Linked DNA regions of Canis lupus familiaris. The protein of the gene in region 1 purifies or fractionates together with the protein of each later gene. This does not show direct contact. Links are inferred from orthologs where the notes say so. Each region holds a gene or a part of one and is shown in the gene's direction. Other genes may lie near its edges. The genes, in order: SNRPB, COPRS, CHERP, MEPCE, CMTR2, RIOK1 and HTATSF1.

Region 1 (4,036 bases):
ACCATGCCCCCTCAGCCCTTCATCCCTGGAGTCCAACCTTGCTAGTGACACCCCCCATCATCCCTCGAAGACAACCTAGCTGTACACCTGCCCTAGTTTGTCAGCAATGGGATTCCTAGCATAATCTTTTCCCCAGTGGAAATGGAATATAATACCATGCTATGCTGTTTTTATTTTCTCCCAATATGCATGATATATCTGTTTGCTGCAGCCCTTCAGGTGCAGACACTATGCAGTATATGCTTTGTGTCAATGTCACCCTGGCTCCCCATGCACATCCAAGTCCCTCGGTGACCCTGCTCCCATCTTTGGCTTGCCTGATGACTGTAGACCAGCTCTGGCCCATGCAAATCTTAAAAAAATAAAAAAAGAAGATTTTATTTATTCATGAGAGAGAGAGAGAGAGAGAGAGAGAGGAAGGGGCAGAGACATAGGCAGAGGGAAAAGCAGGTTCCCTGCGGGGATCGTGATGCGGGACTCGATCCCAGGATCCCAGGATCATGACCTAAGCCAAAGGCAGATGCTCAACCAGTCAGCCACCCAGGCGTCCCTCACCATGTTATATTTAGTATATTAGACCTCCAGGTCAAGCAGGTGGCTGGAGATTTTGGCCACGAGTTAAATAAAGCACCCAGGGTTAGAGGAATAAATCTGAAATTCCTGAGCATTTAGGTAGTATTCACAAGTCATAGGACTGGATGGGATTGGTTGATTGACTCATTTGTTCATGGAAATATGTTTAGAGCTAGGCATTGCGGTAACGAAAAATACACAAAGGAAAATCTATACCCTCAGAACTTGCATCCTAATGGGGAGGAATAACAACAGAAACACGGTATATTAGGGATCACCATTAAGGAGGAAGATAAAGCAGGTAAGGGCGGGAAGGCTGCAGTTTAAATAAGGATGGCCAGGGAAGTCCTCAGTGGGAAAATGTTACTTGAGCTGAAGTCCTGAAGGATGTTCGGGCAGGAGTCGTGCAGGTACCTGGACGACTAGCATTGCAAAGGTGCTAAGGCAGGAGCTCGTCCAGCAAGTTCACAGAAAAGGACAGGCCAGGGAAGAGCGGTGGGACCTGGAGACCCAGAGGTAATGGGGAGGGGCGTGCGGGCAGCTCCGGAACCGATTGAAGCTAGGGAGGTGACCTAACATCCCGGGAAATGTTGTTTGACGTTAGCCCCGCCCCAAACTCCCGCGGGCGTCTAGGCTCCCAGGTCGGCGTTTTGGCCGGAACTCAAGAGCCGACGCCGGGCCGGAAGTAGTTTTTACCCGACCCCATTTTATCCGCGGCCGCACTTCCGGTAGCGGCGGCGGGAAGCGGTGTAGTAGCGGGCGTCTAGGCCTCTGCTGAGGGCAATCCGGCGGGAATCGGAGCCATCAGAACCGCCACCATGGTGAGGACGGGCAGGCCGGCTGCGCGGGAACTTCCGAGTCTGTCGTGGAGTGGGCACCGCGGCCGGTCGGGAGGAGGTCGTGGGTTGGGGGCTCATGGCGGCGAAGGCCCGGGCCGCAGCCGCCGCGTCTGGGCGGGGGAGACTCGGACCGTGGCCTTTGGACGGGTTGGGGGAAGGGAGGGCTGGGGCCGAGGGACGGAGGCCGGGGCCGCTAGGTGGTGGCGAGGATGGGCCCGCGGCTGTCCACGCCGCTGTAGCCACGGTGCTTGGGATCCTGCAGGCACGAAGTAAACTTTTGCGCAATAAATGCGCGTTTGGGGTTTCGGAGCAGACATAAGAGCCTCAGGAGGACTCGTGAAACGGGGTGAGGGTCTGAGGGGGACTTGCGGAAAGCGGGGAGGACTTCTGGCCGAAACTAGAGAGCGTGCTTGGGTCTAGCAGATGGGAGGAGGGAATGGGAGGGAAACCGAAGATGGAGGAAGGGTTCAACTCCTTTGTGGGGCAGGTCTGTGTGAGCGTGTCTGGCTTCTCAGGCACTGGGGCTACTCCACTCCTTTCGCTTTCTAGTTGCGGACGCAGGTAATATGATCCAGAGTGGTAATTAAGCGCTGCGTAAAAGTAACGGGGCGGGGGGGGGGGCGGGATAAGAACGTTTTCCTGGAGTAGATGGTTCCTGAGCAGAGTCCTAACAGGTTGTTACAGGAGTCTCCCCAGCCTCGATGGAAGGGAGTATTGTAGATTGGGAGGGCTCCAAGAGCAGGGCGTGAAGGGCCGCACTGTTGAGGGTTCCTGGAGGGGTCGAGGGGGAAGGGATGGAAGAAGAGATGGGAGGAATTGGCAGGAACCTGGCTACTAAAGGCTTTCCATGCTGCCTGATCCCGTTGGTGATGAGGGATGCCGTGGAAGGATGTAGCCAGCGAAATGACGTGGACGCAGTTGTGTTTAGAAAGAGCGCTCTGTTCTGTGGCTGTTGCGTGTTGGGTGAACCGAAAGCCGGGGATTGTTTGTAGGATTGGTTTGGAAGAGTAGGCACTGGATTCAGTCTGTCTAGGTTCCAGACCAGCTTCCTGGCTGTGAGACGGGGCAAGCTACTTAACCTCTCCTGACCTCAGTGGCTGCATCTGTAAAATAGGAATAATAATTAGCCTGGTTTTTAGAATTAAATGAGATATTTAGAGACTGCTGGGTGGCTCAGTAGTTAAACATCTGCCTTGGGCCCAAGGTGTGATCCTGGAGACCCGGGATTTAGTCCCACATCAGGCTCCTTGCATGGAGCCTGCTTCTCCCTCTGCCTGTGTCTCTGCCTTTCTGTGTCTCTCATGAATAAATAAATAAAATGTTTAAAAAAATAAAAGATATTTAGTGCTTGTCACAGTGCCTGGTACGCAGTGAACGACCAGGAAGACTTACCTATTATAAGGTGGACAGACCAGTAAATGTTGCCATAAGGCTTCAGATCTGTGTGGCTAGAATCTAGAGGGCAGATTTAAATGGGGACACTGGACTCAAGTTAACCAGCTTGTAGCTGGTTAACAGTCATTTGAGGGAGAGTGAGCCACATAACTTGTGTCTCTAGGCAAGGCTCTGATCCACACATTGGTGGGTTGAAAAACCTGTTCTTGTCCAAGCTTACAGAGATGAACAGCAAGCACAGTAACTGGCAAGAAGACGACACTTGGAAGGCTGATACACAAATCAAATGCCAGGTTATTTCTAGAGAGGTATAACTGCCAAAGGCACCTGGCAATTTGCGTTGTGAGTTCTATTTAGTCTGTCTTTTACCAAAGCTACCTTGGAAGCCAGGCTACAAACCAGAAAAGGTTGTTGGATTGATAAAGAAGTTTAAAGACCATTATGTGTTCAAACTGATGAGCACCCTGGCCACCAGAAAGTTTCCCTCCCAAAGACAGTTTTGGAGGCACATTAACATTTTTCGTTTAGGGATTCCATTTGCCTTGCCTCCAAGCTCATCAGCTCCTTTCTGATAATAGATTCTTGCTGATTGGATCCTTAGTGCCAATCATTCCAGCTGTTTTACTCGGTCCTTTAACTGGGCTGTGGGTGTTCCACAGCACTGGAGTCACACACCTGTAACCTGCATAGTGGCAGATGGCTAATCTGGTATGGGGGGATTGGATTAGTTTGGAGATACCTTACTCCTCACCCCTGAAACTGACACAGCAGACACACAGGCAATTGTGATATGAAAAAGACTGATTTTAAGGGAGAGTAAGAGAGTTGTGGGCAGAGGTCTGGGCTGAACACTGGGTGTGGGAGAATTCCCCGGGAAAGGAAGACAGAGCTGAGAAGTTGTTGAGAGAGATAGCCATGTGGAAAAGTAGGCCAGAGCTGGTTTTTAGGAAGGACCAGGGATATATAGGTTCAAAAGAGCTTGACTCTGATCCTGCTGATTTCTCCTTGCAGACTGTGGGCAAGAGCAGCAAGATGCTGCAGCACATCGACTATAGGATGAGGTGCATCCTACAAGACGGCCGGATCTTCATTGGCACCTTCAAGGCTTTTGACAAGCATATGAATTTGATTCTCTGTGACTGTGATGAGTTCAGGAAAATCAAGTGAGAAGTGGGCTGCATGGGGGTGGGATTTAAATTGTGAGGGAAATGGACTGGGTGGGTGGGCCA
Region 2 (3,745 bases), on another chromosome or scaffold:
TACAACGAACACTTCACTTCTCTATTCACATTAGCCACGTTTAAAGTGCTCAGCAGTCACATGTGGCTCATGCTAGCTAGCCTTTTGGAGCACAGATGAGAGAATATTACCATCATCACTGAAAGTCCTGTTAGAGAGTGCTGGTCCAGAAAAAGCACCATGCACACATGGAGATAATAGTCATAACAGCTGACACTGAGTAAGTGCAAGGTACAATTCTAAGTGTTTCTTTTCCCATTGCCCCCTTTTAAAAACAACACCCACAACAATCCTATCTTCATAGTTACAGATGTGAAAACTGAGGCACAGAGTAAAAATGAAAAAAAAAATGTGGTAAAACACATAAAATTTATCATTTACCAGTTTTAAAGAGTACAGCTCAGTGCCACTTCATACAGTTACAGTGTTGTGTAACCACCACGGCTGTTTAGTTCCAGAACATTTTCAGCATCCCATGAGGAAAGTCTTTGCCCGATAAGTAGCCACACCCCATCTACCCTTCCTTAAGTCCCTGGCGACCACTGATCTGCCTTATGTCTCTGGGTTTCCCCTATGCTGGTTAGGCAAATGTGAATTGCATGTAAATGGAGGGATACCCTATATGGCCTTATATGTCTGGCTTCCTTTACTCAGCATAATATTTTCAAGATTCATTCATGTACAATGAATCAGTACATTCCTTTTTATAGCTGAATCCCTTCATCATATGGTTACACCACATCTTGCTTGGTTATTCATTCTGTTGATGGGCATTGATTTGACCTGTTTCCACCTTCTGGTGATTGTGAGCGGTACTGTCATGGACATTTTTGTACAGATCTTGTTAAAATACCTGTTTTCCATTCTTTGGTCCATGTAGGAGTGGAATGGCTGGGCTGTGTGTTGAAGTTCTTGAAGACTTGGTTAAGTATGTTTCAGCTTAGTCACACAATTGCAGATTGGCAGAACCAGCATTGGGACTGGGGTAGTCTAGCCCCAGAACCCATGCCCTGAACTATTACTTTTTTGCTTATAGCTGTTGGTCATTCTTATGCAGTACTCGTAACATGGCTGTTTTTAGGCTGATTCTTTTCCCAGCTCTACCTGGCATTACCATAGCACGATACACTTGGAGGTCTCTTATCCTCTCCCAGACTTTCTTCCATTATTTTGAGACTTTTTGAAAATAGACCGTCCAGCCCTCTCCAGTATTGGGAGGAGGAGACGTGGTGGCTGTCTACTGTGATTAGATGGGTTCTGCTCTTCCATCTGCTTTCCTCCTGCTGCACCTTGTCCTGTGCTCCTTGAGGATGAAGAGAGAAATAGAATAGTAAAAATTCAATTCAAGTTCGTGTCATGAAAGCTTATCATTTGCCAGATGCCCTTTGCCTCAATTACCCATAAACTACCTAAAAATATAAACTGTGCTTGATTTGCTTGATTCCCTGTGCAAATTACAAGAGCTTGCAATTAATGGCCTCATTTAAGGCAAAAAGTTTTATTGAAAAAAAAGATCAACCATACTTTGTAAAAGGTAAACAGAACAACATTTTTGTTTTATTTTTTATTTATTTATTTTTAAAAGGTTTTATTTATTTATTCATGAGAGACACAGAGAGAGAGGCAGAGACACAGGCAGAGAGAGAAGCAGGCTCCATGCAGGGAGCCTGATGTGGGACTCGATTCCGGGTCTCCAGGATCATAGCCCTGGGTTGAAGGTGGCCCTATACCGCTGAGCCACCTGGGCTGCCCAACATTTTTGTTTTAAAGTGCTCAGGTGGGGCAGCCCGGGTGGCTCAGCGGTTTAGCGCCACCTTCACCCCGGGGTGTGATCCTGGAGTCCCAGGATCAAGTCCCATGTCGGGCTCCCTGGATAGAGCCTGCTTTCTCCCTCTGCTTCTGTCTCCGCCTCTCTATCTCTCTTTCTCTCTGTCTCTCATGAATAAATAAATAAAATCTTTCAAAAAACAATAATAAAGTGCTCAGATGGCTAAAGAACTCTGTACACTTGTTTCACTTCTTGCCCTCACAGTAAATCTGGCAAACATTTTCCAAGCACATGATGAGTAGGCCTTGTGCAGATGCTGGTGGTTTTAAGACCTTCTCCCTTCTGTTGGTTTCTTAGCCAGTGGAGCACAGAGTGTCCCTAATGGTAGTCCTACCCATGATGAGGGCGCCCACTCGGAAGAGGAAGGCTTTGCTGTGGATGATGAGGATTCTGATGGGGACCTGAATACCTGGGAGCTGTCAGAAGGGGTGTCCAACTGTCCGCCCAAGGAATCGGCTGCTGATATTTTTAACGAGGACTGGGATTTGGAGTTGAAAGCAGATCAAGGCAATCCATATGGTAGGTGTGGCATTTCTGGGGGGTCCAAGGTTCGGAGATCCTCTTACCAAATTACCCCACAGGCAGACCGTTTGAAAGACGGACCCAGTCTGTGACCTTAGCCTGACACCTGTTACAGGGCTGAAATTTCTGTGACAGCCTCTCTTTCATATTGGAAAAAAATACAAATTTTGTAGTTGACTTTATAATGTATCAGTTTTAACATTGAAACAGTGTTGTTCTCTTAAAATATCGTTGTGAATCTAGCTTCTGCAGACAGAAGTGCTGTCTTCTGCAGTTGCAGCCTCTGCACTGCAAAGGACCCCCCTTTGAGAAGCTCTGCTTAGGTGGCTTCCTCAGAATGAACACATTTGCAATCCAGGGAGCACTCTGTGTGCTTTTAAACAAAGTTCAGGTGTCTGTCCCCTAGGTATTTTTGGCTCTCGGTCCCTGCCTCCCCCCCCCCCACCTTTAATCTGTTTGTTTGTTTGTTTTTTAACTGCTTGCAGATGCTGATGACATCCAGGGTTGCATCTCTCAAGAGGTCAAACCTTGGGTGTGCTGTGCCCCACAAGGAGACATGATCTATGACCCTAGTTGGCACCATCCACCTCCACTGATACCCCATTATTCCAAGATGGTCTTCGAAACAGGACAGTTTGATGATGCTGAAGATTGAGTGTGCAGCTTCTGGCCTGGTGGGTGGGCATGCCTTTCCAAATGAAGGTCTCTCTTCCTTTCATGGAGGTGGAGGTCACATTTGATGACACATTCCCAGCGATCCCCAAGTCGAGCACACAGACTGGCATTAGATAAGGTCCCAATGTCCTCCAGTTATGCTGTTGTTGTTTTTAATGAGCTTCTCCTTGGGACATGTGAGTGTTTGCGTCTGTGTCAGGAGGAGTCGTGTTCTTTATAAATAAAGGTAGAAAAAATTTGATCTGCTTTTGTTTACTCCCCTCCCCCCTTCTAACTGGATACTTACTTACCAGCAAAGCCTTACTCCTTCAGTTAAGGAGTAATGGCTTTGTAAAATGGCTTACACTTTAAGGATTGGAATACTTGGACACTTAAAACTACTCTGTGAAAGAAAATAATTTTTGGGGCAAGGATTAGAATCCAGGAAACATTGATGACTTGGTGGCTGATTTCTTCTATTCCTGTTGATGAAAAATTGACCATTTACTTAGTTAACAAGAACTTTCTGCAGGCCGTAACACTAAATGGCAAATAGATTAAACCAGCAGTTATGTAGCCCTCAGCTGGTATGAAAGGATTTTTGAACTTTTTTTTATTTATTTATTTATTTATTTATTTATTTATTTATTTATTTATTTATTTATTTATTTATTTATAAAAAGATTTTATTTATTTATTCATGAGAGACCCAGAGAGAGAGATAGGCAGAGACACAGTCAAAGGGAGAAGCAGGTTCCATGT
Region 3 (3,500 bases), on another chromosome or scaffold:
AGTTTGGCTTTGAGCTTGGCCTGCCTGAAGGGGATGGCTCCCCCGAGAGCAGCAGAAAGTGACTCTGCCTTTTCCCTGCCCCTTTCTCCATCTTGCCCCATCTCCTGCTACGCACACGTGCAGCCTGGGTCCTCACCCTCTGCTCTCTGTTTCCCTGTGCCACATAGGTGGCTCCCTTGCCACTTGGCTGCTCCTCACCCTGCCCCTCCCTTATTTTTCTGCTGTTGGGGAATAGGCAGCTGCTCAGAACCTTTTCTGCTCTCCTGCTGCCACCAGCCACTCTGCTGACCAGGGCAGCTCTGCAGAGACCCGGCCCCGTTTCTGGCATTTGTCCAGCCACACTCCTCTTGCTCGGCTCTATGCAGAAGCCCAGTGCCGCTCACCCTGTGCTCGGCCCCTCCTCTCCCCGTCCTGGTTCCCAGCCTTGCACTCACTGCTGTCTCTGAGCACCCTCTGGTGGACTTGGTGCTGGGAGGGCTTCAGGCTACTCACCTTTTGCCTCCCTCCTGTCAGAGGCAGCACATGTGCTGTCGGGCTCTGCCGCCTTACGCACGGCCATGGGGGCCACGGCCTCTGCACCCCCTTACACAGCCACCCCGGGAGGATGTGAGGGCAGGCTGCCTCACGTCCCTAGACGCCTGGCTTGCCCCACACACTCCCCCACCTCCTGAAAGGCGGGGATTGAGCTGTGGTTTCATTGTGCATAGGGGGTGACAGGGCTGAGTGAGGCCACATGGACAGCTGGGGCTCCTCAGGCCTTGGGTCTGTGCGTCCTTGTGCCACCCCGGGAGGGAAGGGTTATTTTACGGATCAGAAGACCAGGGTGACAGCCCTTTCTCTGAAGGTCCCCAGGCTGTTCTTTCCCTTCTCCCACTTGCTATCTACCTGTCACTCGGGCCCAGGCGCCAGCACAGGTCTTGTGGGGAGCCCAGCCCTCGTCCCAGCCGGGTTGGGGGCCCGTGTCCCGAGAAGGCAGAGGGTGCTGTGGCTGGAGCCGCAATGGTAACGGGCGCGTGGCCGGGTCCCGCCCCAGGGCCCTGACGCGCGGAAGGTCTCTCCCTCACAGCCAGCGCAAGCAGGCCAGGGAGCTGCTGGCCGCCCTGCAGAAAGTCGTGGTGCCCATCTATTGCACCAGCTTCTTGGCCGTGGAGGAGGACAAGCAGCAAAAGATCGCACGGGTACATGGGGCAGCCAGGAGAGACGGAGGGCAGAATGGGGGTGGGGATTGCTGGTTTTCCTTCTGACACGGCCTCTCCTTCCTCCGCACCCAGCTCCTGCAGCTCTGGGAGAAAAACGGCTACTTCGACGACTCCATCATCCAGCAGCTGCAGAGCCCAGCCCTGGGGCTCGGCCAGTACCAGGTGAATACCTTCCCCACCCACACAGCACCGAGAAGGTGGGGGGCTATCCCCAGAGAGTGGGGCAGTTGCATTCCAGCACGTTCCCAGAAGTCAGGTGGCCAACAGCCCCTGCCTGGGGTGGCACCTGCCGGTGGGGTGGTGATTTCGGAGGCCAGGTAGCATTTTGCACACGGGACTCCCACACGTGTCTCTGGAATGATGGTGAGAGCGGGAGGCTAGGGTCTGAGCAGCAGCCTGTGGGCGGGGCTCCTGCTCTCTCCACAGTGACCAGCGAGCCCCTTCCAGGTGAGCCCGCCTGACTATTTTCCTGGTGCTCTTGTGGTCGGGTGGCCCTATTCAGGCCCTGCTCATGGCAGTGGCTTTGGCCTGTCGGCCCTGGTCCTTTGGGCTTGCTTCTGCATGATGGAAGCATAAAGCAGCCTGGACGTCACCTAGGCTGTCATGGCCACATTGTGCATTAGTCACGTCCTCTGTGTGGGTTTGTCTTCTCTCTGGGGAGGCATCTGCTCAGATGATGGTGGCGCAGGGCAGAAAGGGAGGGCCAGCCAGGTCTCCTTGGTCACTTCTGCTGTGACACCAGCCTGGCTGCCCCGTCTACAGCTGCTGGAATAAAGGCAGAGCTCACACCCCCTCTTCTCAGGCCGGAAGCTGTGGTTTTGGAAAAGAGGAGGTTGAATTTCAGAAGCTGTGCTGTCCATTTCCTCTGCGACGGCCTGGAGGCTACCCGCACAGGGGGGAAGCTTTCATACTCCCACAAAGGCATATGAGGAACGTGCATGTCCAGTTGTGAATTTTTTTATCTTTTTCATTGTTAGAGCAGGCTTATCACACCCTATCGCAGCGGCGTTAGCTGTTCCCGTCCCTCCCGAAGCTGGTGGCCGCAGCTCGTGTTTACTCAGCCACGCTAGTCACTTTATGTGGTGTTTCACTGGGTTGTCCCCACAAATCCTTGAAGGGAGGTCCTGTTATTGTTTTACAGAGGAGGAAACGGAGGCTCAGGGAGGTTATGACTTGCTTAGAACCCCGTAGCAAGTGAGCACCATGGCCCGTGCCTGCGGCTTAGACCATTTGTCTGAGTCGTATCTCTGATAGTCGTGTGATAGGACAGGGCATGGCTCCTTCCTGTTGTTAGGGAATCACACACCTCACTGCAGCCAGCGCTCTGGTCACTCGTTTTGGCAAGATTTATACACTCTGTGCTTGACAAGACCATGTTAATTGTTTTACATGACAGTCACGTGGCCACCTGCTCCGGGCTCTTGCGCCTCAGCACCTGAGGCCCTGTCCTGAATTCCCGGGGCTTTCCTGGCCCTGTCCCTGGGTTCTGCCAGAAGGGATGGGCCCTGAAGTGATCCCCAGGCTTCCATCCTGAGTGCCAGCTGCTCCCCCCTCTCTCTGCCAGGCTACGCTCATCAACGAGTATTCCTCGGTGGTCCAGCCAGTGCAGCTGGCCTTCCAGCAGCAGATCCAGACCCTTAAGACGCAGCACGAGGAGTTTGTCAACAGCCTGGCCCAGCAGCAGCAACAACAGCAGCAGCAGCAACAACAAATTCAAATGCCACAAATGGAGGCTGAGGTCAAGGCCACCCCGCCGCCGCCCGCCCCGCCTCCGGCCCCCACGCCTACCCCTGCCATCCCACCAACCACCCAGCCTGGTATGGGGACTCCTTCGGCACCCCTTCCGTGGGGTGGGGTGGTCTAAGAAGGCAGCTTCGTTCCCCAGAGAAGGGCTCTGGTTCTGTGGACCAGATCCTAAGGCCGGATTCTGACCTGTTTGCAAACACCAGGCCCAGGGATTTCACAGGTAGATGCAACCAAACCCTTAAAGCTTGGGTGATTGCTGTACAGACTATCCCAGAGAAGACAGAGAGGAAAGCTGCCCAAATCATTTTTCAAGACCAGGGTAACTTTTACACCAGATGGACAAAGAGAAAGTTTCATGGATATCAGGCAGTGTCACTTATGAACAAAGATGCAGAAATATGCCACACCTGAAATCCAGCAAGGTGTTTTAAAACAAGAACAACAAAAAAAAAACACCATGATAAGATAGGATTTGCCCCAGGAATGTGTAAGGGTGGTTTAGCACTTAGAAGTTGCATGAAACAACAGATGAGGCGGTGAAGAAACCATCTTTCA
Region 4 (4,120 bases), on another chromosome or scaffold:
GTCCAAGTCCTTGATTCCCCTCAGTGGATAAAACAGGGGGTTGCTGCAAGCCTCTCTTCCACCTCAGGAACCGCCACCATGAGATAACTTCCCGTTAGAGGCCCGACCGCACCCCCACCCCCGGGGGAGGCACCCGTATTCTCATTCCTGCTCAGCCCGTCACTGGCCGCCAGGATACTGGGTCACTTTTGTTTGTTTGCGGAGGGTAGGTCTGCGGTGGAGATTCTTAGGAGGGGTAGGAGTTGGTTGTCCAGAAGAGAAAATTTCTCCTCAGGCGACGGGTACCAGGACTGGCAGCGCCTAGCACTTTCATCTGCAACCGGAGAAAAGCCAGCTACCTTCTGGAGCAAGGAGGACCTAAAGGCAAAGAGCAGAATGAGCCACTGCAGCAATTCCGCAAACCCCTCCAACCTCGACCCAGTTTTCCCGCCACAAAGAAAAGGCGTGAGGACACGCACTAGCTGCGCTGCCACCCCCGCGGCGTGCATCCAAAACTGGGGCGCATGCGCAGCCGAAACTGCTTCTGCTTTTGCGCAGCTGTTCTATCCGCCATCTTCCAGCCGAATGCCCTGTAAAACTACAAATCCCATAATCCTCAGTGTCCTCACTTTTTTTTTTTTAGGCGGCGGGAGCAGCGCCTGATCGTTCATGAAGCACATCTGTCTGTTACTAACTTTTCTCTCTACCCCAGACTGCTTTTTCCTTCCTCTTTTCGTTTCCTGGTTCCTATTCTTCCTTTTAGTCTCGTTCACGCCCTATCTTGATGTTTTAGTTGAGACTATCTGCAACCCCACTGTCGCCCCTCCCGCCTTCTTCTCTGCCACAGGACCCGCTCCCCAAGCTATGTTGGCAGGGAGAACGCGCCACCTTAGCACCCTGTGGAAAGGGCGCCGAGCAGCTTCTTCCCCATTGGCCGAGGCAGGGGGCCCAAAGCAGGCCGAACCCTCTTCCCCGCCCACACTCGTTTTTATATAAGGCTGCGCGAAGAGAGCGTGTGCTTGGGAAGGCCTGCGTGCGAGGTGGCCGTGGTGGTGGCGAATGTGCTGCTATTGGTGGCTGCGGTGGGCGTCGGGACGCAGTCGGCGGGCTAGGGGCTCGCGCGCAGGCGTCGGGTGGTGGGAAGAGGTGTTGGTGCCAGGGCTGTGGGTGTGGAGGCGGAGAGGAGGGCGTGGTGTCCCCAGGTGATCGCCATTGGGGTAAAGCGGAGGAGCGAGAGAACGACTCGGCCATTTCGGGGGAAGAGGAAGTTGGACAACATCGGCTGTTTTAGTGCCTTTTTTTTTTTCAGTTCAGCAGAGACTATTTCCCAGGGGGGTGAGTTACAATGACTTATTGTATTTTACTGAGAACAGTTCGTAGGCAAGCCGTCTGTACGCTCCTCTCCTTCCCTTCCTCTACTTTTAGGTTCACCCCTCCGTTCCTTCGGAAGCCTTTCTAAGTAGGTGGGCAAAGGGGGCGATCGAAATATGAATAATTCATGAGGCCCGCCCCACTCGTTGACCACGCCCCCTCCAAACCGTGCTGACGCACGTTGCGTGTACCAAATCTAAGGAAGCGACGTAACAGTCTCCGCCCCTAGGGTGGAGGGAGGGGCGTCATCTCCAGCACGTGCTGTATCTACCCGCGCAAGCCCAAAAGGGTGTGCGCAGGCGCTGCCCGCTAGGGGGAGGAAGGAGGCGGGGTAGGGAGGTTGCTGGGTTTAGAGCCGGGCGGAGACCGCTGAGACTCATTCCTCAGGAACAAGGGTCGGGTGTCAAGGAGACCTTTTCACACCAGCTCCCCGTCCCCCGCCTACGGTGGGTGGGATCGCGCGGCAGAGACAAAGGATATCAGTAGGGACGGACATAGCTGCGAAGGGAAGTAGGGTGTCAGTTTGGGGTGGTGGGCTTTTGTGGGGGCTGAGGTGGGCTATATTTAAACTCCCGGAGCCGTTAAGTTGGTTCGTACTCATGCGCGCGCAACCAGGGTGGTGGCGGAGTGCGCATGCGTGATTCAGGGGCGAGAGGAACGCGCTTTAGCAGTGCGCGCTCGCGGCGAAGCGGTAGTGGTGGAGGAGAAAGGCGTTGGCGCACGCGCGGTTGATTCCTGGAGTTGTTCGGTTCTCGCGGGCATCTTGTTTTGGTCTCGCGGGCGAGTGGGGCGCGCTTCGGGGGAGGCGCTTGGGCGCGAGACTAGGCGAGAAGAGCAGAGCTGCGCGCGCACTCAGGGAAGGGGGGAAGGGAGCGGGCTCTAGGGAGGGGGGTTAAGCCCCCTAGTTCTCCCCCCCCCCCCCCCGTTGCCCTCAACTGGGACGGAATAAGGGGAGGAAATGATCGAGATGGCGGCGGAGAAGGAGCCGTTTCTGGTGCCGGCCCCGCCGCCGCCGCTCAAAGATGAGTCGGGCGGAGGGGGCGGCCCCACGCTGCAACCTCACCGAGAGGCCGCCTCCGGGGAGCTCTGCGGCGGGACGCAGCGTGGGCCGGGCCCGCGCACACACTCGACGGGGGTCCCGGCTTCTGGGGTCGGCAAGGAGAGCCCTGGGGCTACATCCACTCGGGGAGGCCAGTCGCAGCAGCAACGAGGGGGCGGCCCCCAGGCGCAGTCTCATGGGGAGGCCCGCTTGTCGGATCCCCACGGGCGAGCCGCTCCCCCTGACGTTGGGGAGGAGCGAAGGGGAGGAGGCGGAACAGAACTGGGTCCCCCTGCCCCTCCTCGACCCCGCAATGGCTATCAGCCCCACCGGCCCCCTGGGGGAGGTGGGGGAAAGAGGAGAAATAGTTGTAACGTGGGAGGGAGTGGTGGAGGCTTCAAACATCCGGCCTTCAAGAGGCGCAGGCGGGTTAATTCGGACTGTGATTCTGTGTTACCCTCCAACTTTCTCCTGGGGGGCAATATCTTTGATCCACTGAACCTGAATAGCCTCCTGGATGAGGAAGTGAGCCGCGCACTCAATGCAGAGACCCCTAAGTCATCTCCACTTCCAGCCAAGGGGCGAGATCCAGTGGAGATCCTCATCCCCAAAGATATTACTGACCCGCTCAGTCTCAATACTTGCACTGATGAGGCCCAGGTAGTTCTTGCATCGCCACTCAAGACTGGTCGGAAGCGGCATAGACATCGGGGACAGCACCACCAGCAGCAGCAGGCAACCGGAGGGAATGATAGCCACTCTGTGCTCCCCACAGCCCCCCTCACTCCCTCACTCCATGGGGAGGGCACCCCACAGCAGCAGCGGCACAGGGGCCAGAACCGGGATGCCCCTCAGCCCTATGAACTCAACACAGCCATCAACTGCAGGGATGAGGTCGTGTCTCCCCTTCCATCTGCCCTCCAGGGTCCCTCAGGCTCCCTTTCAGCCCCTCCAGCTGCCTCAGTTACCTCTGCAACCCCGTCTTCCTCCTCACGACATCGCAAACGTCGCAGGACTTCCAGCAAGTCAGAGGCAGGGGCTAGGGGTGGAGTCCAGGGTCCCAAGGAGAAGGGCAGAGGGAGTGGGGGAGGCCGTCACCACCACCACCACCACCTCCACCTCCACCCACTACCTGCAGCAGTCTTCAAAAAGCAACAGCTCAAGTTCCAGTATGGGAATTATTGCAAGTACTATGGTTACCGCAATCCCTCCTGTGAGGATGGGCGCCTTCGAGTGTTGAAGCCTGAGTGGTTTCGGGGTCGGGACGTCCTAGATCTGGGCTGCAATGTGGGCCATCTGACCCTGAGCATTGCCTGTAAGTGGGGCCCATCCCGCATGGTGGGTCTGGATATCGATTCCCGACTCATTCATTCGGCCCGCCAAAACATCCGACACTACCTGTCTGAGGAGCTGCGTCTGCCATCCCAGACTTCTGAGGGGGACCCAGGGGCAGAGAGTGAGGAAGGGACCATAACCGTCCGAAAGAGAAGCTGCTTCCCAGCCTCACTGACAGCCAGCCGGGGTCCCATCGCTGCACCCCAAGTGCCCTTGGATGGAGCAGACACATCAGTCTTCCCCAACAATGTTGTCTTCGTCACGGTAAGAGGGTCTGAAGGCTCTTGGTATAGGGGCCAGGTGTGAAGATGAGATTAAGTGGGAATAAGACAGGAAAGTTATGACCCAGAGGGATTTCTGCATGTACTCTGCCAGGAGAACCAGATCTTCAGGGAT
Region 5 (4,129 bases), on another chromosome or scaffold:
CCAGGATTGTGCCCTGGGCCAAAGGCAGGCGCCAAACCACTGAGCCACCCAGGGATCCCTAGAGCATTTTTTCTTACTTATTTGTAGGAGTTATATATTTTGGATACAAATTCTTTGTCATACATATGTGTTATAAATATCTTCTCCCACTCTGTAGGTTGTCTTTTCATTCTCAATGGTGTCTTATGGTGAATAGACATTCTTAATTTTAATATGGTTCAATTTATATACTTACTCTTTATGATTAGTGCTTTTTCTGCTTTGTTGTAAACTTTTTACCTATTTCAAGGTCACAAAGATGTTTTCTGCTAAAAGAGTTGTTTGCCTTTTTAAAATATAGATTGGCAACCCAAATGAAATGTTATTTTTTTTATGTGAGGTAAGAGTCCACATAAAATTTTTTTCTATACGAATATCCAAATGACCCAGCACCATTTTTTGGAAAGACAATTTTTTCCCTTTGATCGATGCATATCCTGAAGGACTTGTAAAATAATGTATTTTTATTTTTATTTATTTTTAAAGATTTTGTTTATTTATTCATGAGAGACACAGAGAGGCAGAGACACAGGCAGAGGGAGAAGCAGGCTCCACGCAGGGAGCCTGATGAGGGACTGAATCCCAGGACCCCGGGATCACGACCTGAGCCAAAGGCAGACGCTCAACCTGACCCACTCAGGTGCCCCTAAAAAAAATATATATATATAATATATAATAATATGTAACATATAATCGATATATAAAATATATCAATATACTATTATTTATAGTAATATGTAATATATGATCGATATATAAAATATATCAATATACTATTATTTATAGTAATATGTAATATATAATCGATATATAAAATATATCAATATACTATTATTTATAGTAATATGTAATATATAATCGATATATAAAATATATCAATATACTATTATTTATAGTAATATGTAATATATAATCGATATATAAAATATATCAATATGCTATTATTTATAGCATATCAATATTATAAATATTATATATCATATTTGATATGATTTTATGTGATATTATATATCATATTTAACCTCATATTGTTTTTAGAGCACGAGTTTTAACTCAGCCTGAGTTAGGAACCAACTTTTGCCGGACGAGGTTAGAAAGCTTCCCCTCCCAGGGCCGGTGGGCGGAGGCAGCGTGTCCGGGACAGGTTGGCCCCGCCCATCCCCCCGCCCCCCCCTCCGCCGGGGCGGGGCCAAAGGACGCCCCACCTCCGCGAGCGGCTTCCGTTGCCATGGGAGCCGTGGGCAAGGCGGCTGGCGTCCCCGGGACCCCGCGGAGAAGGAGAAGCGAAACCCAGCGAGCGAGGGCTTGGGCGCTACGAGAGTCCCGGCGTGCGTGACGTTGACGCGTAACGCCAGCCCGGCCTCGAGGCGCGTGCGCAATGTGTGTGTCGGGGCCCTCGGGCCGCGGGCGGCCGGCGTCGGGCGGCGGCGCTGCCTGGAGGTGGGTTCCCGCTGCCGGGGTCGCGAGGGCGCGTCCGGGCCAGTTTCCCGGCCTTTCGGGGCGCCGCCTACCTCCGCTGCGGCCGGGGGCGCCGGCGCCGCACGCCCCGAGCAGCGGCCGTTCCGGGAAGCGGCCCCGGGAGCGGAAGCGGAGGAGGGTTCCCTCGAGTGAGGAGAGGAGGGAGGCGCTACCTCTCCCCCGGGGCGGGGCGGGGCGGGGGGCGAGGTGAGGTGGGCGTGAGCGGAGGTCCTCAGGCCCGGGTTCCGAGGCCGGTCCGGAGCGGGGGCGGGGCGTGGGCCGGGGGTTCGTCCCGGGGTCGGGCCGCTCGCCCGAATGGAGCTTGGGACTCCCTTCCGTCCGGTGAAACGGGGTCTTGGGCGCCCCGGCCCGAAGTAGCGAAGGCGCTAGGTGACACTCGGGCTGTGATTGCCGGAGTCGCTGGGAGCCGAGCTGCGGGAGGTAACTTCTAAAACTCCTTAGTCGACGTTAATTGGAGAGAGCACAGCTGATGAGGTCTCGTGCGTTTCGTGTCAGGCCGACGATTTTGCAGGTATTTCCTTCGAGGCTTCGGGCTGCATGACTTCCTACTTGACTGCAAAATAGGAGTGTTACTGCTGACCCTCCTAGCGGAGCTGTGATGCCTCAGAGCTCGATGGCGTGCTCAGTGAAAGGCGCAGAGGAACCCACGGGAAACTTTTTTCTCTATAAACCACGTGTTTTTTTTTTTTTTTTTTTTTTTTTTTAATTTTTGGGTATTGCATTGGTCATGCCGGAGTGAGGTTGAAGTGCATTATCATGACTCATTCAGAACCTAATCTGACGAGTGCCATTTGTGCTAACATTTATTCGTTAAATATTCACTGTTTATTGTGTCCTAAGCACTGTTATAACCTCGGTGTGATAAATGAATCAACAAAACCAAGATCTTTGCCCTGTGGAGCTTAGATTCTATTTTTTGGGAGAAGACAGTAATAAACATAATAAGCAAACGAACTATATGTTATAAGGAAAAAAAAGAGTGTCATGGGGGAAAAAAGAAGTACAGCAAGGTCCTTCCCTTTACCATTGGTATTGCAAAATGCAATTAGGATGTTGGGGTAGGTTTCATAGAGAAATTGCATGTGAGTAAATACTTGAAGGAGGTGAGGGAGTGAGCTGTGCAGGTCATCTGAAGGAAGAGTGTTCCAGGCAGAGGGGTTGCCCAGTGCACAGGCTTACAGGTTGCAGTGTACCTGGTGCTTCAGTGAACAGCAAGAAAGCTTGTGTGGCTGGAACAGAAAGAATATGAGGAACAATAGACAATTAGTTTAGAGATGGGTTGGGGCTGGAGGGCAGAAATCTTCAAGGTCCTTGGAGGTTATTGTAAGGACTGTGGCCTTTACTTTGAGTGAAATGGGGAGCCAGGGGAGACAAAGATAGAAGAGACCAGTTAGAAGGCTCTGGCAATAGCCCCGCAGAAAATTGACAGTGTCTGTAGGAGGCTGGTAGGTGGAGGTGGGTGAGCGAGTGGCTTGAGCCTGGGAATTTGATAGGAGGAAAGAAAGGTGGGATTGTAGACCTGAACATTATTCAATATATACATGTTCAATATTTATAGTTTATATATAAATACATAAGATATATAAACACATAAGATATATGTAATACATAATTTATATATAAATACATAAAATACATTTGTGGTACACAAATCAAGATTCAAATGATTCAAATGATTCAAATCAATGATTTAAATCATTGAATCATTTTAGTTTTTCTCATGTAAAGATAATTATCTATTAGCTTAGGCAAGATTTCAGAGCTTACCTACAGCCATTAATTAGTATGTGAAGTTAGACTAAAATCAGACTTTTTCCAAAATAGAATATAGTTGCGATCTAAACATGGTCATAGTTTCCAGTAAGCACAGTGTGAATTAAGACAGAATAACTTGTAATAAACTTTCATTTGATTTTATTTAGGGTTTTAGTGAATGTGACAATGCCTCATTTTTGTCTTTCAGAAATCTGTCTGAATATAGCTTCTAACAGTAAAATATATATATATATATATATATATATATATATATATATGGACAAGGTATTGATGGGCAAGTGTGACTACTAACTGATGATTTGTGTGTATTGTAAATACGTTGTGGCAAACAAAAATGACTAAGAAGATACTTGTTACCTCAAGAAGCTTATAGGCTAGTGGAGTACACAGGGTTGTAAATACTTTAAACAAAATAGAAGAGGATGAGAAAAGTGTGCTAAAATATAGTACAAAACAAATGGTAATAGAATACAGCCTTCTATATATTATTGTATTTTTTGTGGCATTAGCTCACTTTATTTCTCATCTTAATCACACATTGGCTTTTTGTGGGTTGGTGGTTTTTTTGTCGTTTTTTTGTGTTTGACAATTTAGATACTTTTTGAAAAACTGGTGTAGCATTGAATATGCTGAGTAAACGTGGAACTTTTGAACTAAAGCACCTATTAATTAACATTGAGCCAACAAGTCCTAGGTAATACTTAGAGCTCTAACTGCTAGAATTTATAACTCAGGCCAACACTGTGCCATTAAGCCATGCTTTTTTCCATTATATCTCTTTCCCTCTCTAGTGGACAGATGTTTTTGGTTTCTTAGACGGTGTTAAAACACAGAA
Region 6 (4,277 bases), on another chromosome or scaffold:
ATTCAGCACCTATTCATTTTACTGTTTTAACCTCTGCCACCCTTTCAAGGGTGTCAATATTTACACGTTTTTAAAAAGTGATGTTTACACCCAACATAGGGCTTGAACTCACCACCCTGAGATCAAGTCGCATGCTCTTCCTACAGCCAGCCAGGTGCCCCACAGTATTTACAGACTATAAGTGCGTCCATTGGAGTCCATGCGTGATTTTTCAGAACTCCTTACAGCAAACAGCAATGTCGTTCACAGAGTGACTATTGATTGAACGAACCTTGCAGTCCAAGGACTTACTTTTACTAAAACTTCTCCATCTACAGTCACTGGCCATTTGCCTGATTTTATTTTATTGAATTGCTGAATTAACGAATAATAATTGAGGCTTGATTCCCATCCCCTCCCCCTGCAAGCTACTATGTCATCCCGTAAAGTATAAAAAAAAGCCAGTGGGTCAAGCAGGCTAGCCAGGGATTAGTGAACTTTTTAATCACCTTTTCCATCTTTCCAAACACATAAATGCTGCCTGCGCTGTGGTGAAGGGCATCTGAAAAAAATCTTTGTTTTCTAAACGCAAAACAAAAACAAAAGCAACCAACAACAACAAAAAACCAAGTGTCTTATTCCTTAAACTTTTTTGGTCTAGAATTTCCAATCACATTTCTGGACCTTTATTCATAGTGCACATTCTATCAACTTATTATTTATTATTTTTTTTAAGATTTCATTCATTCATTCATTCATTCATGAGAGAGGCAGAGACCCCGGCAGAGGGAGAAGCAGGCTCCCTGCGGGGGAGCCCGATGCGGGGTTCGATCCCGTGACCCCGGGGTCACGCCCTGAGCCCTCCAGCTGCCCCTCTAGTTCGGTTTTAAGGCGTTTTCAGTCGTATGACAAACTCTCTAAAAAAAAAAAAAATCACTTATCTTAGTTTACCCTCAAAACACGGCACCAAACTCCTTAAGTCTAACTACCAGGCTCCATAGTTTCCCGGACCGCGGCAAGGACCTCGAGCCTCCCGCCTCCGCACGCCGCGGCGCGGGACGAAGAGCAACGTCACACCCGCTCCCACCCAAGGCGTTAAAAAACGGCCGGAGGTACCGGGCGCGTTGGACTCGCGCGCGTGTGACGTCACCCCGCCGCGCCAGCCAATCTCCGCGAGGCTCGCGGCCCGCCGGGCTCCCACGCCCCCTCTGGGCCACGCCCCCCACCTGCGCAGGGGCCGCCACCGCCTCGTGAAGGGGCGGGACTTCCGGCGGGCCGCGCCTTCCGGTCGGGCGGGACTTCCGGTCAGGGAAGTTCCCCCCGCGCGTCCGGGTTGCCGGTGCAGGTGCGTTATCAGCGCGTGGCGCCCGCCTTTCGCGGCGGAGCCTCTGAGCCGCGTGCTGGGCGGGCGTCTGCCGAAGGGCGGTCTCATGGGCCGCAGGTAGGTTCCTGTCCCAGCGCGCGGCGGACGGCCTCCGGGGCTCTGCGCGCTCCCGGGATGGACTACCGCCGGCTGCTGATGAGTCGCGTGGTCCCGGGGCAGTTCGACGACGCGGACTCCTCCGACAGGTGCGCGGCCCCCGACACCCCGACCCCGCGGGGGCTCCGCTGCCCCCCCCCCCCCGGCCCCCTCGGCTTTGGAGGGAGACCAGTAGTTGTCTCGCTTCTTTCCGCACCCCCGCGGGGTCTTTTATCCCACTTTGCGGCAGAGCCCCCCAAAGGAGCCCCGGGTCGCTTAGCATCGCTGAGTCAGGCGACTGTCTGCAGCCGGGGACAGCGGGGAGGAAGCCGATTTTTCTTTAAAAAAAAATATTTTATTTATTTATTCATGAGAAGCAGGCTCCACGCAGGGAGCCCGACGCGGGACTCGATCCCGGGTCTCCAGGGTCACGCCCTGGGCCGGAGGCGGCGCTAACCGCTGAGCCACCCGGGCCGCCCAGGAAACAGATTTTTGCCTCTTGAGCTGCATCCAACGTCCAGAAGGTATCGGAGCGCCTGTTGTGTGCAGGTTCTGTCGGCGGCGCTGGAGACGGTGATGAATAAGACAAGAGTCCCTGCCGTCGCCTGAACATTGCCTTCTGCATGGGAGCGAGGACTTGACGATGGGGTACATAGAGATAGTCTAAGAGCCCCGAAACAGATGTTAGGCGCTAGTGCAAATAATTGAAATGAGTTGATAGGCCGAGTAGTTGACAATGTCAGGGGAGAGGTAAGTCCGGATCGGAAGGACAGAAAAGGAGCTAAAGTCGGGAAGAGCAGGAGGGAACAGCAGTTCAGCAAGAGGAGACAAGAGTGCAGAGGCCCAGCGGGGCTGCCCCTTCTGGCTGTGAAGGGAGGATCTAGAGGCCACGTACCTGGAGCACAGCAGGAATTGGGAGGATGGCGGGGCTCTGATGTAGAAACGAGAAGGGGCCGGGTCATGTACAGCCTCCCAAGCGATGACAAGGAGCTGGCGATGTTTTTCCAGGTCTTAATAGAAAGAAAGCCATAGGAGAGAATTTTAGCAGGGGAATAACACAATGTGATTTATGGTTTAAAGGAATTACTCTTCCAGAGAGGATGGGCACGGATGGAAGCAGTTCAAGGTTGATAAAATGGGGGTGCCTGGGTGGCTCTGCCGGTTAAGGGTTTGACTCTTGATTTCAGCTCAGATCGTGATCTCAAGGGTGGTGGGATTCAGGCCTGCATCCGGCTCAAGGTAGGCGTGGAGCCTGCTTAAGATTCTCTCTCTCGCCGTCTCCCTCTGCACCCCACCTCCACCCTCAAGTCATGCACTCTCTCTCTAAAGAAAAAAAATGATAAAGTAATTCAGTTCAAACATGACGGGAGCTAGAGATAGGGTCAAAGAGATATGTGTTGGAGGTAGAAGTGACAAGATCTGGTGGTGGATCGGATGTGAGCAAAAGGAATGAAGGATAACGCCTACGTGAAACTAAGAGTTCCTTTGGAATTACAAGCAGTTTTTACTTTATGTTCACAGTAAGGATTCATTACTTGTAGGTTTTATTAAATTGTTGATCGTTTTCTGTGTGTCACATCTAATGTCAGTGGGTAGGGATACATTGGTAAACACCACCCTGACTGACACAGGGCTTGCATGGGAGGAGGGGAAACATTAAATAATTAGACAGTAGATGGGGATCCCTGGGTGGCTCAGGGGTTTAGCGCCTGCCTTTGGCCCAGGGCACGATCCTGGAGTCCCAGGATTGAGTCCCACGTCAGGCTCCCAGCATGGAGCCTGCTTCTCCCTCCTCCTGTGTCTCTGCCTCTCTCTCTCTATGTCTATTGTAAATAAATTAAATAAATAAATAAGTAAATCTTTAAAAAATAATTAGACAGTAGATATTTGCATTAGAATTGGGTAAGTAGTACAAAAGAAAAGTGGATAAGGAATAGGGAAGACTTCCCTGAGCAATTGATCATAAGCTAATACTGGAAGGTTACATAAGATTTAGCCAGAGAAATAGGATTTTATTTCAAAAGCATTCCAGATTTTTGTTTCCAAAGAGGCATATATAAATCTTTAGGGAAGAAGTAGGAAGAAGAAACACAGCCCAGTGACGACTGGTGAATAAACAGTAATGAGTGTGCACTGGTTTACCATCCATCACTGGAAATATCCACTATTCACAAGACTGAAGATAAATCAGTGGATTTTGTGACCCCACCACACTTCAGAGTTTCTTGGCAATCTTTAGAGACATTTGTTTGTTACAACTGGGTGGTGGGGGAGTGCAGAGTAGCATCTGGTTGGTAGAGGCTAGAAATAGTGCTAAACGTCCTACAAGGCACAAAACAACTTTCCACAACAAAGAATTGCCCAGCTGAGGTTGAGGAGTTCTGGTACAAATGAAGTCCAGCTTAAACATGCCACTCTAGGTTTATGGCAATTGAAGGATCAAATTAAGGATTATATTTATGGGGCAGCCCCGGTGGCGCAGCGGTTTAGCGCCGCCTGCAGCCCAGATCCTGGAGACCCTGGATCGAGTCCCATGTCAGGCTCTCTGCATGGAGCCTGCTTCTCCCCCTCTGCCTGTGTCTCTGCCTCTCTCTCTCTCTCTCTCTCTCTCTCTCTCTCTCGTCTCTATGAATAAATAAATAAAATCTTTTAAAAAAAGGATTATATTTATGAAAATGACAGTGTAAATCCTAACTTCATTAAGGCAGAAGTGGGTTTCCTACCTGCTGTACTTGTTTAGTAGGACTTGGAGAATGAGCAAACAATGGGAATGGCGCTCTGAAATCTGTTTTATTGGGAGGTGTGGTGGAAGGAAAACTTATACATTTATTAGTATAGA
Region 7 (3,500 bases), on another chromosome or scaffold:
AAGATGAACAGGCACCCTTATAAGGGAGGTTTACCCTGTAAGTTAAAATAGAATCTTGGAAGCACAAAGAACTATCTTAGAACACTTAGTCAATGAAAGGGCTATCTCTCTCTCCATGACAGCATTTCTGTAAATAGGCATCTATGCAAAACCCAAAGCAGAAGGCTCTGGTCAGTACACTCATGATGCCCGTGCAGGACAGAGGAATGAGCAGTGTCTGATTGCATATATGTCAGAGGACTTTTCCTGCCCGTACAGCTGCTGTTATTGGGGATTCCCGGTCCTCCTTCCCTGCTTCCCCTCCCCTCTGCTCCAGCACAGTCCTACTGCTGCCCGCCATTCTCAGCCCTTTCCTCAAGCTGAAAGCAGGGCCGCCCTGTAGCAGTGGCTGCAGTCTTGGTGATCTAACTTTAATCCGTTTTGACTTTTTAAGATTTTGTAGGCCTCAGACAAGACTACTTTTTTTTAAGTAAAACTTTTTTCGGTATGTTGGCTTGTCAAAGCAAGAAATGTGATTTCTCAGGGTTTGTATTTAAAGGGGGCAAACCTGTTTTAATCATGTGTATGTTTGCAGGATGATCCATTGGTGCTGAATGAAATCAGAGAAGACCTTCGAGTAGAGTGTTCAAAGTTTGGACAAATTAGGAAGCTTCTTCTCTTTGATGTAAGTTCGTGGCTTAGACAAATGATTCCTAAAGCCAAGCATTCTTTCCCTTTGAGAAGTTATTCCCAGAGGTCAGTATGCCACAAATTTTGGATTAATGTTTTTCTATAGTAGGGCTGCTATCTAGTAGTAGTCATCTGTCAGCAGTAGTTAGATGAACATGGATTGTAAGTCAGGGCTTGCTAGACTTGGTATGCCTTGGTGATTTCCCTTTATTGCCCTAGAGTGTGTGATCAGATGAAAGGAGTACAAGAAAGACGTGTGAGATCTTGTGGTTCCCTATTTGCCCCCATTTACCCCTCTTGGTGAATTACTCTCCTCCTCCATATTTGAAGAAAAATCAAGCAAAATATTCTTCTCTATGTTCCCCTTCTTACTCTGTTACTTCCTAGATTGACACATACTAAAAGATTCACCATTTATTGATTGCATACGGGCTACTTTACATGTTACCTCATTTAGTTCTCATGATCTTTTGAGGTAGGTGGGTACTATTCTACCCATTTTACAGATGAGGAAGCTCGGAGTTTAGAGATTGAGTGAGCACCTTGCTCAAGGTCATTTAGCTGCTAAGTGGTAGAAGCATTTCCAAGAACATCATGCTTGGTTCTTGATATACAAGATTAAGCTAAAGAAGCAGCTAGCTTTGGGGTGCCTAGGTGGCTCATTTGGTTAAGTGACTGCCTTCGCTTGGGTCATGATTCCAGGGTCCTGGGATCGAGCCCTGCATCGGGCGCCCCTCTCAGTGGGAAGTCTGCTTTTCCCTCTGCCCCTTCCCCAGCTCGTGCTTTCTCTCACTATCTCTCTCTCTCTCTCTCTCTCTCAAATAAATAAAATATTTTTTTTTTTAAAGAAGCAGCTAGCTTCAAGTCACTGGCTGGAGTAAAAAGGAAGAATGGCTTCATACATAAAATCTTGAAGCTTAAGTTATCAAAGAACTCCACTACATACTTATTTTGTCAAATGTGTATGTTTTATTTTTAGTTTTATCATTCATTGCTGCCTTTTCTTCCCTTTCTAGAGACACCCCGATGGTGTGGCCTCTGTGTCCTTCAGGGATCCGGAGGAAGCTGACTATTGTATACAAACTCTTGATGGAAGGTGGTTTGGTGGCCGTCAAATCACTGCCCAGGCGTGGGATGGGACTACAGATTATCAGGTAAATTCTGCAACTATCAAGGGCACATAAATTGTAACATTACCAACAAATGCTGATCTAGTGGTTCTTCAGATGAGTTTTGGGCTCAGTTTAATCTGTTTAATGTAACAGTTCTTCTAAATAATACTTTGCATCCAGAGCATAGAAAGAAAAATGTTTTAGTTTTTCAGTTTATAAGCCTGAAATTTTGAGGTGTGCTCAGAATAGTGGTAAGTAAAGGATGGAGAGCATTCAAGTATTAACTTTTTCTTTGATTTCTTTATTTAACAATTCTGCAGGACTGTGGTGTTGGGCTTTTGTTTAAATGATCTTAAGCTCAACTCCCATTAATCAAGATGTAAAATTTTGAAAACTGAATATAGGGAAATGCTCTGATTTCCTAAGAAGAGATGCTGTATGAAATCAGGGTATTTGTGTCAGTATCAGAAGTGTGCAGAGAAGTTATTTATTTTTGCCTAAAACTCATTTTAATAGCAATTCCCCTTTCTCCACAGGTGGAAGAGACCACAAGAGAAAGGGAGGAAAGGCTGAGAGGATGGGAGGCTTTCCTTAATGCTCCCGAGGCTAACAGAAGCCTTCGGCGTTCAAATTCCATCTGTGCTTCGGAAAGGGCGGGGCCTTCTAGGGTAAGGCATTTTTCAGAGCGCCCTAGCACATCGAAAATGAATGCACAAGAGGCCACAAGGGAAATGGCATTTGAAGAACCCATCGATGAAAAGAAGTTTGAAAAAACCGAAGATGGGGGAGAATTTGAAGGAGATGCTTCGGAAAAAGATGCCAAAGAAAGTGGTCCCGAGAAAGAGGCTGAGGAAGGCTGCGCCCAGAAAGAATCTGAAGAAGGCTCCCTCAAAACAGAGTCTGAGGAAGGCTGCCCCAAGAGGGAGCGTGAGGAAGACTACCCAGAGAGAGAGTCTGGAGAAGGCAGCCCTGAAAAAGAGTTTGAAGAGGGCGGTCCTAAAGCAGAGTCTAAAGAGAATGGCCCTGAACAAGAATCCAAAAAGAAGAGGCTCAAAAATGATTATGAAGAGAACGGTCTTGAAAAGGATTCTGACCAAGATGGCCCCAGCAAGGAGTGTGAAGAGGAGAGCCCTCAAAAGGAGTCTGAAGAGGATGACTCGGAAAGGGAATCCGAAGAAGACTTCTCTGAAAAGCAGTTTGAAGACGGCTCTGAGAAAGAATTTGAAGAAAATGGCCTTGAGAAGGATTTTGATGAGGATGCCTCCGACAAGGAGTTCGGCGAGAACATTCTCGACAGGGAGTTTGAAGACAATGACTCTGACAAATCAGAATTTGGAGATAGCAGCTCTGAGAGAGTGTTTGAGGAGGAAGTCTCAGAGAGGGAGTTTGACGAAGAGTCTGATGACAAGGAAGAAGGGGAGGACACCTACGAAAAGGTATTTGATGATGAGTCAGACGAAAGAGAGGATGAAGACTATGCAGATGAAAAGGGGCTTGAAGACGTTGATGAGAAGATGTTCGAAGACTCGGATGACAAAGAAGATGAGGAAGGAGTAGAGATAAAGGAAGGTGAGGACGTGGATGATAAGATGTTTGAAGAGGATGATTCCAACGGGAAGCTGTTTGATGATGACGATGAGGATTCCAGTGAGAAGCTGTTTGACGACTCTGATGAGAGAGGGACAGTGAGGGGTGTGGGCAACGTGAAGGAGGAAGGGC

Evidence for each region.
Region 2: the proteins of SNRPB (region 1) and COPRS purify together in Homo sapiens (co-immunoprecipitation; 3 studies listed by BioGRID and IntAct, with this or other methods). This does not show direct contact. The link is inferred for Canis lupus familiaris from reciprocal best matches to the Homo sapiens genes SNRPB and COPRS.
Region 3: the proteins of SNRPB (region 1) and CHERP purify together in Homo sapiens (co-immunoprecipitation; 3 studies listed by BioGRID and IntAct, with this or other methods). This does not show direct contact. The link is inferred for Canis lupus familiaris from reciprocal best matches to the Homo sapiens genes SNRPB and CHERP.
Region 4: the proteins of SNRPB (region 1) and MEPCE purify together in Homo sapiens (affinity purification with mass spectrometry; 4 studies listed by BioGRID and IntAct, with this or other methods). This does not show direct contact. The link is inferred for Canis lupus familiaris from reciprocal best matches to the Homo sapiens genes SNRPB and MEPCE.
Region 5: the proteins of SNRPB (region 1) and CMTR2 purify together in Homo sapiens (co-immunoprecipitation; 3 studies listed by BioGRID and IntAct, with this or other methods). This does not show direct contact. The link is inferred for Canis lupus familiaris from reciprocal best matches to the Homo sapiens genes SNRPB and CMTR2.
Region 6: the proteins of SNRPB (region 1) and RIOK1 purify together in Homo sapiens (affinity purification with mass spectrometry; 4 studies listed by BioGRID and IntAct, with this or other methods). This does not show direct contact. The link is inferred for Canis lupus familiaris from reciprocal best matches to the Homo sapiens genes SNRPB and RIOK1.
Region 7: the proteins of SNRPB (region 1) and HTATSF1 purify together in Homo sapiens (affinity purification with mass spectrometry; 3 studies listed by BioGRID and IntAct, with this or other methods). This does not show direct contact. The link is inferred for Canis lupus familiaris from reciprocal best matches to the Homo sapiens genes SNRPB and HTATSF1.

The regions. Positions count from the first base shown.
Region 1 is NC_049245.1:19,125,763-19,129,798, forward strand, and holds the start of SNRPB (small nuclear ribonucleoprotein-associated proteins B and B'), read left to right. Parts: upstream 1-1,236; 5' UTR 1,237-1,391; coding exon 1,392-1,394; intron 1,395-3,818; coding exon 3,819-3,970; intron 3,971-4,036. UniProt on the Homo sapiens protein: Plays a role in pre-mRNA splicing as a core component of the spliceosomal U1, U2, U4 and U5 small nuclear ribonucleoproteins (snRNPs), the building blocks of the spliceosome.
Region 2 is NC_049230.1:41,073,836-41,077,580, forward strand, and holds the end of COPRS (coordinator of PRMT5 and differentiation stimulator), read left to right. Parts: intron 1-2,104; coding exon 2,105-2,326; intron 2,327-2,814; coding exon 2,815-2,984; 3' UTR 2,985-3,245; downstream 3,246-3,745. UniProt on the Homo sapiens protein: Histone-binding protein required for histone H4 methyltransferase activity of PRMT5.
Region 3 is NC_049241.1:46,417,198-46,420,697, forward strand, and holds part of CHERP (calcium homeostasis endoplasmic reticulum protein), read left to right. Parts: intron 1-1,033; coding exon 1,034-1,178; intron 1,179-1,271; coding exon 1,272-1,361; intron 1,362-2,763; coding exon 2,764-3,016; intron 3,017-3,500. UniProt on the Homo sapiens protein: Involved in calcium homeostasis, growth and proliferation.
Region 4 is NC_049227.1:9,182,778-9,186,897, reverse strand, and holds the start of MEPCE (7SK snRNA methylphosphate capping enzyme), read left to right. Parts: upstream 1-1,320; 5' UTR 1,321-2,308; coding exon 2,309-3,988; intron 3,989-4,120. UniProt on the Homo sapiens protein: S-adenosyl-L-methionine-dependent methyltransferase that adds a methylphosphate cap at the 5'-end of 7SK snRNA (7SK RNA), leading to stabilize it.
Region 5 is NC_049226.1:77,703,493-77,707,621, reverse strand, and holds the start of CMTR2 (cap-specific mRNA (nucleoside-2'-O-)-methyltransferase 2), read left to right. Parts: upstream 1-1,329; 5' UTR 1,330-1,479; intron 1,480-1,796; exon of another isoform or gene 1,797-2,029; intron 2,030-4,129.
Region 6 is NC_049256.1:8,648,144-8,652,420, forward strand, and holds the start of RIOK1 (serine/threonine-protein kinase RIO1), read left to right. Parts: upstream 1-1,477; coding exon 1,478-1,548; intron 1,549-1,937; exon of another isoform or gene 1,938-2,081; coding exon of another isoform or gene 2,082-2,086; intron 2,087-4,277. Other genes in the region: CAGE1 (cancer-associated gene 1 protein), read right to left, coding at 969-978. UniProt on the Homo sapiens protein: Involved in the final steps of cytoplasmic maturation of the 40S ribosomal subunit. Involved in processing of 18S-E pre-rRNA to the mature 18S rRNA. Required for the recycling of NOB1 and PNO1 from the late 40S precursor.
Region 7 is NC_049260.1:107,814,800-107,818,299, forward strand, and holds part of HTATSF1 (HIV Tat-specific factor 1), read left to right. Parts: intron 1-574; coding exon 575-664; intron 665-1,685; coding exon 1,686-1,823; intron 1,824-2,317; coding exon 2,318-3,500. UniProt on the Homo sapiens protein: Component of the 17S U2 SnRNP complex of the spliceosome, a large ribonucleoprotein complex that removes introns from transcribed pre-mRNAs.